Lonchura striata: one gene and its partner. The protein of the gene in region 2 interacts with the protein of the main gene of each other region in a biochemical or structural test. Links are inferred from orthologs where the notes say so. Each region holds a gene or a part of one and is shown on either strand. Other genes may lie near its edges.

The links.
Region 1: the proteins of MYOD1 (region 2) and CSRP3 form a complex in vitro, tested with the Homo sapiens proteins (2 studies listed by BioGRID and IntAct, with this or other methods). The link is inferred for Lonchura striata from reciprocal best matches to the Homo sapiens genes MYOD1 and CSRP3.

What each region holds. Positions count from the first base shown.
Region 1 is NC_134608.1:57,240,892-57,250,180, reverse strand, and holds the start of CSRP3 (cysteine and glycine-rich protein 3), read right to left. Parts: upstream 3,621-9,289; coding exon 3,509-3,620; intron 1-3,508. UniProt on the Homo sapiens protein: Positive regulator of myogenesis. Acts as a cofactor for myogenic bHLH transcription factors such as MYOD1, and probably MYOG and MYF6.
Region 2 is NC_134608.1:48,598,556-48,607,735, forward strand, and holds MYOD1 (myoblast determination protein 1), read right to left. Parts: upstream 3,947-9,180; 5' UTR 3,796-3,946; coding exon 3,241-3,795; intron 1,777-3,240; coding exon 1,698-1,776; intron 1,132-1,697; coding exon 881-1,131; 3' UTR 430-880; downstream 1-429. UniProt on the Homo sapiens protein: Acts as a transcriptional activator that promotes transcription of muscle-specific target genes and plays a role in muscle differentiation. Together with MYF5 and MYOG, co-occupies muscle-specific gene promoter core region during myogenesis.

The DNA of each region.
Region 1 (9,289 bases), about 8.6 Mb from region 2:
GATCTGTGAAGCTTAAAATGGGCTTGAGATTGAAATTGGGCATCCTGAACTCCCAAACCTTAAATAAGGGGGGAAAGGTGTTGCAGGGACATTGATCTGAACTTCTCAGAATACTTGCTCTGAGTCTGTGGGGGCTTTCTCAGCTCAGCCCAGGCTGTTTTGATGTGTGTTTCTGAAAGAGGCTTTAACACTGACTCCTCTCTGGAGTCAGACAGGACATATTAGGGGTTTTTTTGCCATTATTTTTTTGTTGGAGCTGTAACACCAAGGCAAAGCAAGCGTCAGCTCTGTCAGACTTCCTCCAGGATGACAGGAGTGTAGCTGTAGCCATTCCCAAACAGAGCTCTTACAAATCATCTTTGGTACAGAGAACGACAGCTTAGCTTAGCTCACTAAGAAAGGTCTGGCAGACTTTTGGACAGAAGGTGTCATAGGAATGCCCAGCTTTCATCAGGGAGTACAAATACAAATTACAGATTATGTTCTCTACAGCACTCTTAATAATCAATGGGGAAAAAATATAGTAGCTACACTCCTCACTGCTTAGGGAGCCTGTGTTTGCTGCACCACTTGGGGAACTCAGCGTGAGACAACCTCCACCCCACAGAGAGAGAGAGGAAGATCTTCCAATTCAGAGTCTCTCTTGAAAACCACGATTTTGCAGTATGCTAAAACATTACTATTTCAGTACTTCTTACAAACTCTTCACTGTTCAACAGCGATTGATTAGAAACGGGAAAAAAATAAGCAAAAACTTTCTCTTCAGGTTCCTTAGTACAATGCTTGCCCTGCAGAGGGCATTCCAGGCACGGGTTATTGATAGCTTGGGAAAGTTGCTGAGTTCACGTATGCAACAGAAAGCTGTGTAATACAGAGGTGTTGGAAGTGTCTAGAAGTGGAAGTTCTGGAGGAGCTGCCTGAGGGTTTGATTAGCACCTTTCCTCCACGTTTACTTTCAATGTCCTCCTCTCAATCCTATTTATTCACCGCAGGGAATTTACATCCTGCAACCTCTGCAGCTTTTATTACAGACTCCTAGAATGGTTTGGGTTGGAAGTGACTTTAAAGATCATGCAGTTCCAACCCCCAGACCAGGTTCCTGTTAAGGGGCAGTATAACTAGGTATACATCCCCAGCTCTCTGGTTATCTTTGTGGCTTTCCTCCTCCCTGTATTGCATGAAGGAAGAAATAATTTGCAAAGACCTTTATACTAAACAGAAGTAAAATTAGGCACTTCTGTAAATGTGTGAACCTGATCTCCTCATACTACAGTCTTGCTTTGAGATGATAATTGTATTTGCTAAGGGAGTTAAGGGATGATGGAAACTCTAGCAGTGGATTAAGTGTTTCTATTTCTGGTACCTTAGGGATAGGGTATTAATTCACCACAACAGATGGAGCAAAAGGCCTTGAAGTGCTGTTGAAATAACTTTGAGACCTGTCATCTGCCAACAGCTCCTGTTCTCCTGCCGGCACTGAGGAGATCCAGGTTGGTGGTGTGAGATCCTGCCAAATGTCCATCACAGCTGCACTTTGGGTAAAAGCTGTCAGTGAAACATCAGTCTGCAGGTGAGCAGGAGTCTGCATGGGAAGGAGGGATTGCTGGAAACAAATTTCTCTCTTGCAATACTTGTAGGGAAAAACTATGGAGCAGAGAGAGTGTTAGAAATAATTTAGCTTGTCTGATTCTTCCTGTGTTAACAGATTGCTTTGAGTTGTTTATAAATCTGCTGAAATTGAACTCTTTGACCAAAAAATACTGGTGTGTTTCACGTGTCTGGGCAAATATAATGTGAAATAGAAGATATATTTGAAATAATTCTATATAGAAATATACAAAAGTACAGCTAAATTGAGTGTTTGCATGCCTGAGTTTAGGGTTAAGGAAAAATTGGTTTCCTTCTGTTGAGAAATGAAATCCTATAAATGGTTCATAAAAAAGTTCACAAATGTGATAGATGATCCTGAGGCATTCAGAGCTTCTGAATAGTGTACATGAATCATGGGGGAAAGTAAAGCCAATTAACATACCTTTCATATGCCAGCTGGGCAACTTAGATGCATCTTTAAGTTTTGACCTTAAACATATTTCTGATGGGAATACTATTTTTAGTATCTAACATATTAATAATTAATTCAGACTTAAAACAAGGGACAAATAAAAGAACAACCAAAAAAAAAAAAAAAAACAACACAAAAAAACCCCAACAAAATACACTACCAACCAAGAAAAGCCCCACAACAAACTAAATATTTGATAGAGCTAATGAATGTAAGTTGTTTATCATGAATCACTAAAAGAAAATAATTAATTTGTACTATACTTGAGTAATAGTCGTAATTATGCTTCATAATTATGCTCTATTAGGATAGATCTTTATTTTTATTTACTATTTATTGTTATAGGCAGAACATGGAAGCATTTAGAAAGTTTTAGTTGAGACTGAGATTTTCCTTTTAACATTCTGTAAGAATTGGCTGAAGGTTGTCAGTTAACTGAAAATTTTTTGAGGGAATCTTTTCTTACTTGGCCTTTTAGGCATCACCAAAGGCATAATTTGGACTTTCAGGCATCACTTTTGGGGCACCTGGAGAAAGGCAAAGACAGCTCAGGTGTGTCCTTTGGTCTCATTCTGCAAAGAGCTGTTCTGTATCAGCTAAGCACATAAAGTTAGTCTGATGCCTCCAAATAAGAAGTCTCTATCCCTCCAGAAAGGGAGGGAGAAAATTGGATTCAGTGGCTCCTAAACTGTCATGCTGGGAGTCGGACTGCAAAAGTACCAATCCCAAGTATTGTCTGCAAAATCAACTCTTCAGCTGTCTTTATTTCTTAGCAAACTCTTTGCTTTCTCCCTCTCCACAAACGACAAACAGAGCTGAATTGGTACCTTCTCTCTGAAATTTTTTTGTTTTTTAATTTTTACCTCTTCTGCAGAGAAAGCAAAATTCCTGGAAGCCAAGCATCAGAGAGGAGTGTGGAGGGAAAGAGTAAGTGAAAAGGCATAGACCCTGTTCATTTCAAAATGGGACTACATGAAATATGGGGAGGAGGCTGAGGTAAGTGCAGAGTTGGTGGGAGGTTTTGATGACACCAGGGTCTTTCAGCTTTAAGGTGTGAAACAAATTAATGTCAGGATTCGCTGTGAAAGTAATCATCTCCTAAAAGTAAAGAAGTAATCATCCTTTTGTCTGATCAGTGCTGTTTGTTTAGTTCTGCTGGGCTTTTTAACCTGAAGGAACCTGTGGTATGCCACACTGTGGGACAGAAGGAAGAAAGTCCTGGAGATGGACTTAGATACTGGGATTCTGCAGCACCTTCATGTCCCTGACAAAATCCATCTCATATTTGGACAAAGAAAAGCCAGGAGCCCAAAAGGCAGATTGCTCCAGGTAAAAGGCAGCAAAACTGCCTGCCAAGTAATACAAAAATAAATGTTCTGGCTTTAATGGAAGAGTTATACAGAGCTATAGGGGTGCTGTGATGTTAAACCATTCAGCCCAGCTTACTGCAGAGGAAGCATGACTTGTGAAAGCTCCTTCCATTGCACTGGATTTCCTCAGCATGGTACACTGTCTTCTCACAGGCTCCACACTTGGCTCCTCCTCCCCAGTTCGGCATCCTTATCTGAAGGGTTAACCTAGGAAATCAAATTACATAAATAAATGCAACAGCAAATGTGAATTCTTTTAAATGGAACAGCTTGACTGAAAAAAATATATTTTTTTCCTCCCTCTCCAGTCAACTGCTACTGCATACTTGCAATATACTTCGTACCTGTGTGGTAGCAGAAGTGAGGGTGCTACCCTGGTGCTTTGAGGACAGGACAGTCCAAATCCCTGTGATTCTCTCGTAAAAAAGGATATTCCTTAGCTTGGAATATTGTGATGGTAAATATGTGAAATGATTGCGAGGTGTTTCAGTGAAAAGGTGCTAGGATCACTCAACCCTCTTCTGGAAAAGAGGGTCTAGGGTTTATTTTCCATCAAGTAGTCATTTTCTTTCAACACTGCCCTCTCCTGTACCCCAGCATAACCTTTTCTGAGTTCCTCATGAAGCAGCCACAAGATCTCTGTGCTGCACAGCCATTGTAAAGTAATAATGGACAGGTTGCTGAGGTGCTTGAGGTGTGGTTTTTTCCCTTTGTCAATTGTATTTAAAATTTAAACATCAAAGAAAACAAAGGGCCGTGGTTTCTGTTCCATTCTTGCTGTTCCAGTTTGTACTGAAGTGCCTTGCCCAAGGTCACACAGGAGGGCAGGAGTCCAGCCCAGGTCTCCTGATGTCAGGCTGAGTGCTTTTCCCTGTGATTATGCAGTCACACACCTGGAACAACCCCAGGCTCCAGTCTGCCCTCCTGTTTTCTTGTTTGAGTCATCGTTTCTGGAAAGACTGGGATGTCATCTGCACACAGAATTATCAGGTTGTTCCAAGCTCCTGGCACGGGCCTTCCTCCTCCTTCTTGGAAAACCAGTCACCTTCTTATTATAGTTATTTTGAAGCCTGCTTGTACTATTTGTGTTTGATTAAATTCACCAAAAGGTACTTTTAACTAAGAGGAGGATTTTGAAGGCTGAATCAGGCCTGCTACTTGAGAATTTTCTTCTGAGCTCAGGTGATAGAGAGAGGGGAATTTATCACAGCAGTGATGTAGCAGCTGGTCTTTTCAATTAGTTGCATTTTAGACTAGCATTTTACTATATATTTACATTGGACTAATGTCCTGTGCTTATCATCATCTCAGTGACTTCTGCACTTTAATCTTCTGGATTTCAGAATGAAATGAACAATGTCTGCATGCCAGCTCTGCACCGTGAGGGGAATCCTTTCTGACAACTAACACCAAAAATCCTGCAGTGGTATGAAAGACTTGTCTGTCCAGCGAAAGGAAGGGACACAGACTGAAGCAATAGCACTGGAGACATGGCAGTGGGGGCAGGTTTTGCAATCTGTGTTTGATAACAGTGCAGATACCAGCATATCCAAACATCTCTGCCTTACCACAGCAGTTATTAGCATATCCTTAACCCTGTGTAATTAAATGTCACTGTTGTAACTGCTACCTTCACTAGACAGTGTACCTGTCATCCTCGTGCAAGATCCAACCTCTCCTCCTCTTTGTGAGGCTGACTTCTGCTCAGCTGAGCACCCTCCCCAGCTCAGCCAGCCCAGCCTCCTGCTGTCACACTGCAGCAGCATTGTTAATCTCCTCCAGACCCTCCCAGCTCTCTTGGGAGGCTGCTCAGGAGCAGAACTGCTCTGGCAGTTCCAAAACAGCAATGATGCAGAAAGGAAATGAAAACTCAGCTTTTTTCTAACTCTGTTTATCTGTAATGTAACAAGTGAGAAGCAAAAAAAAAAAAAAAAAAAACCCTGATGTAGCTGAAATAAGAAACAAAACTCTGCACAATGAATAGATGATGAATTTGATCTCTCTCACTCAGTGAAGCTTTCACTGAACAGCACTGTTGAATTGGTTTTTCAATTTCTTTTAAATGTGAGATAATGGAACAGAAAGGAATCTTTCATGTAGGTAAAATCTTATTCTCACTCTACCATTCTATATTTTCTTCTGTTTTTAAAGTACTTTTGTATTGGTGCCATTTTTGCTTTCTCTTACAAAAACAGTTCAAGCAATACTTCAAACATTTTAAAAGAAGGAAGAGCAACTGTGGATAAAAATCAGTTTTGTGACACTTCCTTGAAAATTAAATGTGATTTTTTTTTTTTGTCTACAGTGTTCCCTTTCAAATCAGGTTTCCAGTGGAATCCCTTCCCAGCTGAGGCAGCACTGACAGCTGGCTGGGAGGAGAGTGGTTTGTACCTCTGGTCTCTGTAAAGCTGCTTCCTCTCTCTTAGGTCTCCTCAAAGGCACACCAAACCTCCAAAACTGTGGCAGCAAAGATAGTTGTTGGAAAGTAACTCCAATTACATCATCAGCTGAAGGGGAAAAAATAATCTCTGAAAAATTCTGATAAAGTATTGATAGTGAACCTTGTGCTGTCAAGGGCTGTGGTTGAAGCTCTTAGAAGGATCATTGTTCCTGAGGCTAATTATAGTAACATGACTGGGCATGCATACACATTTTCCATGGGTTTTTGGCATCACCTGATGGGAAGCTGTAGGAGAAAGAAGAAAGGCATGGCAGAAATATTTCTGTAAGGATACTGGTGTAAGAACAGGAGTGCATGCTATGATGTCTGTGCTGGCTGGAGGAACAGCTGGGTGAGTTACCAGGGCACATCTGTGCTCCTCCTGTCCGGGCTTTGCTCATCCCTTGGAGCTGAGTGGCCATCCCTGGAGATGCTGCCTGTGCAGCAGGGTCACCATGAGAAGGTAATCTCCACAGGGGATGTGGCACTCATGGTTTTGTACTCATCTAAATTATAACAGTGGACAAAGCTCCATCCTTTCAATAGAAATAGAAATCGGTCTCCCATTTGTCGTCAGAAGAAAATAGATCCAAAGTCTCCACTTCCCATAATTTCATTCGGTGTCAGTGTCTAAATCCCTGTGAAATTCCCTAACTTTGTTGTCTTAATCTAGTTAACTTTTCATGTCTGCTCATCACACGGTTATATTCTGGTGATCTGGTGGGAAGTGGAGCAGACTCATCCTAAAGGTAAGAAATGTGTGACACAGAAACTTCTGAGTGTTAGTTGCAACGTGTGGGCACTCAGGGTGCTGTCAGGCTGGAGGAGCATTCTCAGGCTTGCTCAAATGCTGTTCAGCAGCTTGTGTCATTCTTCAGAATGTAGCTTCTATATGGAGCAGAATTTATACATCAGATGTGCAGCCAAGGATTCATGCCTCCCATTATTTAGAGCTTATATCACTACTTTGTAGGCTGGGTTTGGAGCAAGGAAGCCTTTGAAGTGTTGGTGTGCTCCCAACAGGCATGAAAACATTGTGATCTGTCTTCTTTTGGGCTCTTAGTCATACTGTCCAAATCTGGGTGTCTAATCTGTCAGATTAGAGGGTCTCTCTCTAATCAAAGTGCTATTGATAAGGATAAAATCCATAAATTAATTTTGATCCATTGATCTAAGTGGGTGGTGGATGCACTTCAGGCCTGATGCAATGTGGAGTAAAAGGCAGTGCTAATGCCTGACTGAGCTGCAGGTGAAAAATGTGATTAATTAATGAATTAATTGGAATTAATTCTGGTGCTTCCTTGCTAAACACAAGGTTTTCTCTTCTGTGTGCTCAAGCATTTGACAGTCTAGAGCTCAGGTATTATCTGAATGGACTGCTGAGTTGTGTATTTGCCACATGTGCTGCAGGATGGCTTTGAAGGGGATAAGCAGAATGGGCAATATTGGTCTTTGTGACCACTGGCAGTAGAAATGCTGAGTGGGAGTGGTGGGCAGGGTGTGCCTTGCATCCCTCTGCATTTTAGTCCCAGCTAAGCTGCTTAGTCCAAACTCAGAGGATAAGAAAACCGATTCCTTGATTCCTTACCTAACACACAAGCAATAATAATATAAAACTCACACATCCCTGTCTACATTGAAATGCAAAGTATCAAGGCCGTATTGGAAATTCTTTTCCCAGCTGAAGTCTGTGGGAATGCTACTGCAGCCAGAACTTAACTCTGGTATCTAATCACAGCTCTGCTGTGGCCTGTCCTGTGACCACCGTGACTCATTTGACCGTCCTTAGTGGTACTCACCCCACCAGCAACGGGGGCTAACAAGATATGTCTTCCTTTATATAATAGCCATCAAATGCTGCTGTGGTTTTTCTCTGCAGCTGACACTCACGGTGAGGTTTGCTTTTGATGTGTCTGCATTTGAGCTGCCACTACATCTCGAACAGCCTGGAGGTGTTTCTGTCAAAATCCAGCCCCTTGTGGGACATGCTTCTCCCTCAGCAGGAGAGATTCACAACAGAGGGAAGACTGAGCTCATTTGTGTTTGAAGACTGAGCTCATTTGATGGAGATGTGATCTTGTTATGTGTTTATAATCATATTTCTGATATTCCAATGCATTCACTGGGCTGTGGCTACAGGTAAATTTTCTTAGTCAGTGTCATACATTGAGGTTCCACCACAATCTCATAATAACCAGCATTTTCCCTTTTACATCTTGTTGCAGTAAAGCAACACAGAGAGGTCAAGGTATGGGAATTCTAACACTGGAAAGTAAATATTGATTTTTCACTGACACTAGTCATGCTAAGTTACACGTGGCACTTTGAAACAAAAGATTTTAACTGACTTGATGTGAAGCACATGTGCATTGCTGAGGGGTGATAGTGCCCCATTCCCTTGCTTTTATATCTGTTCTTCCACTTTTTCTATTATTTTCTAGCCTAGTTATGCCACTTGTCCTTTGAAACTTCCTTGATGCACACTTTTGCAGAAATTTAAGATTGCATCTCCAAAAAATACATTATCCTGACTCTAGAACAAGGTACTTAATTCTGACTTAAAAACCAGCCCCACCCCACATTGGCATGTTGCACACTCACACTCATGGTTCAGTCTGATCCATGTGGCTGTGGAAAGCTGCACCCTGCTGTACAAATGACCCATTCAATTTTCCAGGCTTTATCCTGGGCTACCAGCTTTCAGTATTCCTTCCACAAGATCCTTCTCTAAATCCTTATCCCTGCACTAAGTCCATTAAGTGCCAGGCAAAACTGTTACAGACTTTGAAATAGTACTGTGATGACCAAGATAAGACACAGAATTATTTTATCTACATGCATGTCTTTACCTTTTTTCACCTTTAGGCAGAAAACTATTAAAAACACATATGTATTTATGTAGTTATTTATTTATTTGAATGATTGAGGTTTTGTTCTGAAGATTAGACCAATCATGCTCTCTTAGAATGCTTGAATAATGGATTTGGGAATAATTCTTTCATCCTGCATTCTTACCTAACCATTTCTTGTCAAATCTGCACAGAAGTTTTCTTCTTATTTGATATGAAACTAGTTGGTCATCAACATTAAATATTTTGAAGATTTTGGGGGGTTTGTTTTGTTTTTTTTACTTTTAGGATACCATTATGAAAGCACACAAATTTGTGTGCTGCATAAATGCACTTTCTAAAGACTGACTGTTGGCAGAAAAATAATTCTGTAGCTTTGTAACAAAATTTTTAAACATTCTGAAACTTCTGCTATCCAGTCTTGCCTAGTCCAAACGAGTGTCTCTAATGAGGATCCCCCCAGCCCTGCTCTTGCAACACCAGTAGCTGTTCACCTGGCTGAGACAGAAGAATCTCTCTGCTGGCTACTCCAAACCTAAACACTGCTCTGTAAGACTCATATTTCTGT
Region 2 (9,180 bases):
CATGCTTATTTATTGATTCCTCTAATAATGACTTGTGATGTTTAGGTTTAGCAGTGACCACAACAGAATATGAGGAAAGGAGACCCTTTGACAGCAGCATATTTATGCAAAGTAGTGCAACTGAAGCATGTTCTTGATTTCTTTGCTGAATCAGAGCCTGTATCTTCTTCCTGCCAAGGCAGAGATCTAATACCACTCCTAAATGCACTAGTAATTCTAGAAGCCCTAACGAAAGTCAAGATAACACCACAGATTTTATAAATAAGGGTCTTTATTTAGAATACTGTTGAAAACATTCTTGGCAACCACATCGTATAAATATATAAAGTTAAAGTTTGACACAACAAACCAAGCAATATTAAATATTTTTTAAATTTTTCCCCTTTTTAAATTTTTGGCTTTTTTTTTTTTAATTTATTTATTTTACTATTTTTTAGGTTTTTTTCTTTTTTTTTTTTTTGGAAAGCAACTCTTATTTACAATTATACAAAAGTTTTATAAAAAATGGTCCACAACCTTATTTTGGCCAGAACAGGAGTAATAGGAAGGATCTGTCATGCCACTACTGCTGTAGATTTCTATTTTCCTCCACATTCAAGAGCCAGCTTCCTATTCCCCACAGCCCAGATTAAGTATTGGCCATTTCATGGTATACAATTTTATCTCTAGATGTATTAAATAACTTTAGTTTAACAACCAATAAATAACTATGTGTACTTTGAAGTGATACAGGTTTGCAAAGTTAGATAGTTGAAGGAATTTTCAGTGATATTTTAGAATTGGAACAAGTCTTAAGAAGTCTTTTCAACCTTAGAAGGCAGGTCTTGAGCAAGGCCAAACGGAGCAAATTGTTTTTGGTGCAGTCCAGCTGGAGGGCTCCTTATAGCACTTGGTAGATGGGGTTGCTGCTGCTGTTATCCTGGGGGAGTGGGGTGCAGTTGGTGGGGGAAGGAATTTGGGCTCCACCATCACTCAGGCTCACTCCTTCTGGAGGGGAACAGGGACTCCCTTCAGCAACAGTTTCCACCGCAGGCAGTATAGGGCATGTGGAATTATCTGTGGAAATCCTCTCTACAATGCTTGAGAGGCAATCGAGACTGGAAACAACAGAACTCTTCCCATGCTTTGGATCTGAAAAACAGACAAAAAAGTGCTCAGATTATCCAGTGGGTAATTAACATCAGTGGGCACTACACATTTGTGGGCATGTGAAGACTCAGAGGAAATGAGTATTGGTGAAGGACACCAATTATCAGAAAACAGATTGTAATTTCGAAATGGAAGAGAGGTCCAACCACAGTGTGCTGCTCTGGGGAAAGGGAGGATCTAAGGCTTCACTGAGTCCATAGAAAGGGAAGAGCAGATTTGAAATCAGTCATAAATTACTCCAATTTGGATCAATGATAGAGTACGAAGTCTTCATGTAGAATATAGATAATGCTGAAATTAGTTGCAGAGAATAACATACTTCTATCCAACTGTTAGATTTGCAAAATGGGAAATACAGATATAACACATCCCCATATTTGCAAATACACCTAGAAGAAATGCAGTGCCTCTACCAGCAACAATGGCTTGCTGGCTGGAAAGGCAGGTTTCTCTCTCAGCCCAGCTGGACAGGGAGCAGGCACAGGAAAGCTGCTGCACTGCCTGCCTCTGTCTCGGTGTTTCACACCGCCCTTAGGGCATGTACTCACCATTTGGGGACTCTGTGTAGTAGCTGCTGTCATAGCTGTTCCTTCTGCGAGAGCTGCAGGGAGGCCCGCTGTACTCCATCTGGGAAGGAGAGAAATCCAAGTGAGATCAGACTTTTACCCAAATCCCAGGAACCATCTAATTTCATATTTCAGGCTCTGGCCATCGTTCCAGTCCTGTCTGGAATGCCATCAAGTTGTAGATTCTCTGAGTAAGGAAAAACATGGCTAGAAGGGGGTCCACCCCAGGATATTTTATGTGGCACAGCTGTTCCACAGGAAAGTTATCACCCTTGCATCGAATGCTGCAGCTTTACAAATGAGATGAGGCTTTCCAGAATTCTGATCAGATACAGCCCTTCATGTATCTTTCGTTTACAACAGAGAGATTTGAGTGTCCTGAAACCTGTGTGAAATGTGAATTGTCTTTTTAATTTAGTTTTTAAAGATTTTTCTAAACATTAATTCCTCTTTAAAAGCCTCAGTCTACCCTGTTCCTTTGTATTTCCTTCAGTTTCTCTTCCCATTTCCATTTCATATAGAAAGTGCTCTATGAAATTGACTAATGCATTTTTTTTCCAATACTTTAATCCACAATGAAATTCCTCTATTAAAAGAGGTTGTATCTTGAAGAGGAATAATTTGTGTAAATCTCTCCAATGTGTTAAGTCTTTCATAATCACAGATACACAACTCAGTAGTGACTATCCCCACCAGAGCACAAAAAGCAATCTCTGGTCTGAAAGGGCAGTTCATGGCCTATCCAGAGAGCTGTCCTGGACTCTGGTCACCGCATCCTACCAGCCCAGAGTCACACCAGAGGCTGAACCTACAGCCCCAGCCAAAAGATGTGGGGGTGAGACACCCTCTCTGGCACCCACCCTTCTTCTCCCATGCCCATAATGTACAATCAAGACAAAAAGCCTGGATTCTCCTTCCTATTGCTTGTAAAGATCTATGGAGGGGATGAAGTGCGAGAGAAGAGAAATGGAGAATCTTTTTCTTAAGGGTCCAGAAAAATAACTCTTGTTGCTTAGACACTCCTCCTGTTGTAATGATGAATGGAAGAAAACAAAACCCAGACTCTTACCAGTTCCTGTGTAACTACCATGTCCTAGAGGGCCCTTGCTCTCTGCTGTCCTTAGAGGATTCAAAGGTAATGATACAGCAGAAGATGGAAACAGAGATGCCTCAGGATCTACGGGATCACAGGCAATGCCCCCAGGGTGCCCATTCCAGGCAGCTTCCCAAAGTTCTCCCCCAGCAGCTTTTCCCTGGCTCCTCCAGGACATGGGGAACCTGCCTAACTTCTTATCCCAGGGAACAAAATGTGTATGAGATTCTTCTTTCCCAAAACTCCTGTCATGTGGGGACCCCACCTCCCTTCGCCGCGAGTGCTCAAGGCACGAGAAAGGACTTTGTCTTCTGCCTGGGGAGGTACAGAAGGCAGCTGCTATAGGAAGGGCAGGTGACTTGCCCTGCTCAGGTTTGGACCAACAGCGTCCAGGGCACCTTGGTGGCAGGGAGTCCTCCCTGGGGCACTCACCATGCCATCGGAGCAGTTGGAGCGGGGGCTGGAGGCGTCCGACTCCCCGCTGTAGTGCTCCAGCACGGGGTAATAAGCGTCCTCCTGCTCCCGCAGCAGGGCCTGCAGGCTCTCGATGTAGCGGATGGCGTTGCGCAGGATCTCCACCTTGGGCAGGCGCTGGTTGGGGTTGGTGGAGGTGCAGCGCTTGAGGGTCTCGAAGGCCTCGTTGACCTTGCTGAGCCGCCGGCGCTCCCTCATGGTGGCGGCCTTACGGCGGTCGGCGTTGGTGGTCTTCCTCTTGCACGCCTTGCAGGCCCACAGCAGGCAGCGGCCAGCCTGGTGGTGCCCGCTGGGCGCCCGGACGTGCTCCTCCTCGTGCCCGTGGTGGTGCCCGTGGTGGTGCGGGTGCTCCTCGGGCTTCAGCAGACCCCCGACGTGCACCAGCCGCGGATCCAGGTCCTCGAAGAAGTGCATGTCCGACGTGTTGAAGCACGGGTCATCGTAGAAGTCATCGGCGGCTGTGAAGGAGCAGAGGGAGCCCTCCGTCATCTCCATGGGGCCAAGTAAGTCCATGGGGGCGGCAGAGGGGACAGCGGCCCGGCCAGAGGGGACAGCGAGGGGCTCGGACGGAGGGGCCTTCCACCGGGCTGCTCTGCCGAGCCGAGACTCTCGCAGCCTCTGCCAGGCGAGGCCACCAGCGCTGGCTGCTGCCCCGACCCCTCCGCAGCCGCGCCGGTCCGGGAGCGCCACTCGGGGCCGTATTTATGGCCGAGCCCCCCGGCGCGGCGGGTCGGGACGGGGCGGGGCGGGTCGGGGGGCGCGGCCGGGCGGGTCGGGGGCCGGGGCGGCGGGGGGGCGCGGTGTCCCGCAGGGGCAGCGGCAGCCCGGGCGCTCGGATGCGCGCAGGGCTACATTTCCCCCGGGTTTTGTTTTTTCCTGCCTCAGCAGCCCGCCCTGCCGCCGCGCCGGGGAGAGCAGCCGCCCCGATGCCCGAAGGTGCCGGGTGCCGCTCGCCCGGGGGGACGCACCGAACACACCGGTGGCGGCTCCGCTGGTTCCTCACAGGGAAAAAGCCCCCAGCCCCTGGGCAGGTCTGTCCGCGGCTCCACGGACACAAGGGTAATTACTGCGGGGGCGTTCGTGGGGGTGGGCGGCTCCAGGGGACACCGCGGGCAGCAGGGGCCGTGCGGGCCGGCGGGGAAGCGGGGACACCGCGGGGACACGGCGGAGAGGCGGGAGGTGCGGGGCAGGAGGGACGCGGGGACACGGCGGACAGGCGGGAGGTGCGGGCAGAGGGGACGCGGGGACACGGCGGACAGGCGGGAGGTGCGGGCAGAGGGGACGCGGGGACACGGCGGACAGGCGGGAGGTGCGGGCAGAGGGGACGCGGGGACACGGCGGACAGGCGGGATGGGCAGGTGGCGGCCGCCCGGTGGCGCTGCGGGCCTGTCCCAGCGGGAAGCGCCGCCGTGGCCGCGGTGCGCCTGCCTTCCTTGCCTCGGGAACCCCTGCGAACGCTGGCATTCCGGGTTCCTCTTCCAGCTCTGTTCGCCTTCACTCGGAAGCCTTGGGAGGGATGGATCTCAGGTCGCGCCGTGGCGTTTTGCTGCGGTTGCGCTGCAGTTGGACGGCTGAAGGATTATATTCTAGCAGCGGGAGAGTTTGGAGCTTGGGGAAATGGCATCCCATTTTAGTATCGTCTGTCAAGGGTGACAGAGTTTTTACTCTGTTTTTTTGAGTATCATTTGAGATGAGAAATTAGGTTCTCCTCAGAGGAATTAAGTAATTCAATTATGTGATTTCACTGACTTAATGATTAAAATAGAATTGCATATATTTAATGTCCCAAAAGCTAAAAATAATTTCTGTTCTGCAGTTATAAATGTTGGCAAAATTTCAGCTCATTCAAAATCAGCAGCAAAGCTCTGTTTCCAGTGGGATAAGGGGCTGACTGACAAAATCGCAAAAGGTAAAAAACATCCATCAATGATCAATTCCCAGTCCCTGTGCCTATGACTTCTCAGATGGACTGTCATGATGGTGGCTTCTTTTGTTGTTACACGATTTGTTTTTTGGCAAAAATTCCTAAATTGCACTCCCCATTTTCTACTTGCCTAAATATCTTTGAGTACAGACCAAGATTAGAACTGTAAATGGCATTCTCTCAGTATCTCTAAAAGATAAAAGTTTTATTTAAAGATAAAGCTATACGTAGAAATTCATTCTTTCAAAGTACCCAATGCTGAAAAGCAATATGTCCCAAGGAGGGAGATCAGCTACTGGCCACCCCTACACATTTAGAAATGTATCTCCCAGCTGTTTCTGAAAGGCAGAGTGACAATTTTGTGGAGACATTTCAATGTTATTACAGATGTTCTTTGATCCAGAAGCAATAAAGATAGTTGGTTTTAAATCTTTATTGAACAGCTAACAAAGTAAAAATAATTTGTATTGAAAATAGTGCAAGGTATACAATAATGTAAAATACATTTAAATGAGAAAGAGATTTATGCTGTAACAACTGAACATGTAAAATGGGATATGAAGGCTTTGTGCTGGCAGTGTGACCCACTCAAGACACTTAAACTCTCTCTAGACCATTGGCTTAATTTTTGGAAAAATGTAATTTTACCTAATCTTTAGTCATTATTATAGCCTATTCTGCCTTAGTGTGTTTGTAGCTTATATGTGACCCCAGGAAAAGACACTCTGGGACTTGAGTGAGTAGGGATTACCTTGGGCAAAGTGGTAACAAACAGTGGGGCTTGGACAAAGCCCCACTCTTTGGCAGTTGTTGGCAACTACAGAGAACTTGCCAACAATTGCCCATGAGTGTGGGCTCAAGTGCATGAATTCCTTCAAGTGAAAAGGTCAGGAGAAGGCTGTGACCACCAAGTGAATTCCACACAGTAGTCTTTCAGTGAAAGTGCCCTTGAGGACACCTTCCTTTGGGTTTGGACATGCTGGTCTCCAGACATGCCATCCAATCCTAACAATTATGATTCTGTGATTCCCTACTGGTGCCACCACTAACATCTACTTTCCAGTGCAATTCCCAAAGACATGTTTGTCCAGAAAGATGTTGCCATGTACAGTGAGTCCTAAAAAAAACGTTCTTGCAAAGAACAAACCCTGAGATGCTCTTCCCAGTTTTGTGTGGCCACAGTGGAGAGGATGAAGGACAGAACAATCTCCACTTGGAGATTTTCAAGGGCATTCCTCACTCTGAGAGCAGGCAACCATAGGTAGTGTTTATGGCAAGCATTTACAAGGATTCCATTGTTAAACCTCTTTGAAAGCCTCTGGGGCTGTAATCATAATTTCTGTAAAGATTAGGTCTCTCCTGATCTTCCAGTTTGGATGCTATGTTTAGGGTACTGGTGCTGCACTAGCTATTCAGAGCTTTCCCAGGTTGTGTGGAATGTTTGGGCACTGCTTTGGTAGTACAGATACAGAGAGTGTGGCTCAACAAGCATTCAGCAGAGAATTTGTAAAGTTTCTATAAGAGCTGTTTCCCTTAACCTATTCTACATTCATCCTTGGTATATTATTTTTCAGGATGTGATTGAAAAGGAAGCTGGGAAGGCAGAAGCAGATTGTACTTCCTACATTGAAAAACATGGATAGATTCATCCTGTACACAACTGACAGGTATTGTTAAATCTGAGACCATATTCACAAGCATGTATGCCCCCTCAGCAGAAGCAGCATGTGGACAAGGAGAGCTTATTATCTGCAGTAATTGCTTGATTTATCTTTTCTTTTTTGGAGGATAGGGGCTGGGGAAACAGCTGATTTTGAGTTTATCTGGAATTAACAGAATTGTCTTTAGAGGCAAAGGCCCAGAACATGTTCTGGCAAAGGAAAAGGGAGAGAAAAAGACTTAAATCCTCAGAGTATGTGGTTACATTTGGTTAGAAGATGAACATGAGAAGTCTGAGAAACAGACATGGCACTACTTCATGGGAAAATAAGAGTCAAGTAAGTCTAGCTCTGAAAAATTTAGAAGATGTATTATTTGTTATGTTGGACTTTGTTAAATGCTGTAAACCATGGAGGAAGCTGTAACTACGTTTCGGGTCATCAGCTTTTAAAAGGTGAAGGTTGTTGTACAAGTAGGTCAAACATTACTAGTAGTACATGAAGTAGTTTTATGCAGCACTAGTTTAGAATTCAGTTAGTAGCTTTGCTCTGTTCACACTTAGTGAGCTGTATTTTAACACTGAGAGGGATGGATTCCATTGCTCTTATTCATGTTGAGTTGCAGTCAGTGGAACTAATTGTTGAATAAGGTATGCTCAGCATGAGGATGGGTGACGGAATCTAGCCCAGATGGAAATATCTTTTAGACTCCTGCTGTATTAGAGATCAGCAATCTCAACAAAGGCAAATCTAGCATGATTTTAAAAGTGCTTTGAGCCATTCTTGTGGCACTTGGCAGTATTTTTATTAATTAACACAGAGGTTGTTTTAATGTAGTTGTGTTCGCCATCCCCACCCCAAAGCTGGACCACATTCACAGAAAAGATTGGGAAAACATCTGCATTGATTACATTGATTTCTATCCCATGTTACAACACCAACAGAAGGTGGGCTTTGCAGAAATTGCTACTTAATTGCTACTGTAGCTCTATCAGAGTTTACTAAAAATGTTTCATTATGCAGTGCTTTTAGAGTAATGCAGTTTTCTGGCATTTATTTTCACTCCGTCATACTCTTCCATCATGCACAACTTCCTCAGATGCAAAAAAATACTGGCACAGTTTTGTACACATACAAAATCTCTTGGAGAAGAACATGAGCATGCCTGGGTGGTGAATTGAGGAATACACTGGAGATGCAGACATAGAACTGAATTTATTTTTAAGCAAAACAGGAGTATCAGCTAAAGTAGTACACAAAAGTGTGAGGCAATCTTCCAATTAATCAAATGCCAACTACAGAAAAGATGTATATAATGACAAAAAATCCCTAACTGCAGGCAGCTGATCTGGCCAGTTGCTCTTCTTAGGTGACCTTGGGAGCCAGGCTACAGAATGAGGTACTCTGGTAGGGGACTAATGAGAGGAATTTGGACACCTCTGCACTTGAACCAAGCTCACTGACACTGCCCTAATTGAAAGGCAAAACTAATGAGTAACCATTCTCTTTGATGCACTTCTATTTAAGTGTGCTGTTTTTTCACTAGGATCTCATGCCCCTACTTCGAACCAAATAGGGAATATAAGAAGTAGCAGGAGTGCCACAGTAATACCTTTAGTGAGCTAGCTGAGACAGGGCTCTGTATCATAATTAAAGCAATCATCCTGTGTTAAGTCTGGACAAAGCTACTGTCTTTGGTGACACATGCAAAATATGCCCTAGAACCTCTAAAGTTCTCATCTAATGAGAACTCCTAATTTCTCTCTCATCTACTTTCTGAGGATGAGAAAAGGCAGCTAGGAAATAGCTATAAAGAAATCAGCACATTTTCTTATTCCCACTGTTGAGGAAATGTTTGTATCCTTCATCCTGAAGTATACCACCAGAAATAGCTGATCAGTAATTCATTAGACTACTTATTTAAATTGCTACTATGATAGAAATAAGAAAAAAACCCATTGTTTTTGAACAAGTATTTTTAAAAAGTTCATTATTTTACTATACTTGTTAGTAATTTTAAATACCGAATAGTAAAATAAAATATTCAGTAATATAAAACTAGTATTTGGATTTTCTGCCATGTAAAAGTTTCCTTGCACTAAAGGTACAGTGATTTCTTTTTTATTTGTTTTAACAAAATTTATATATATATTCATAAAATAATTTGCACTAATTGATCCTATTAATCATTTAAGAGAGAGGAGAAGCTTAAGAACTTTTGGCTTCTAGGAAGAATTGCATAGATAAATGTGACAGTCTAGCTGGCAACCTTGCTATCATTTAAAGCTAACAGTGGTACAGGCTAGATTTTGAGCT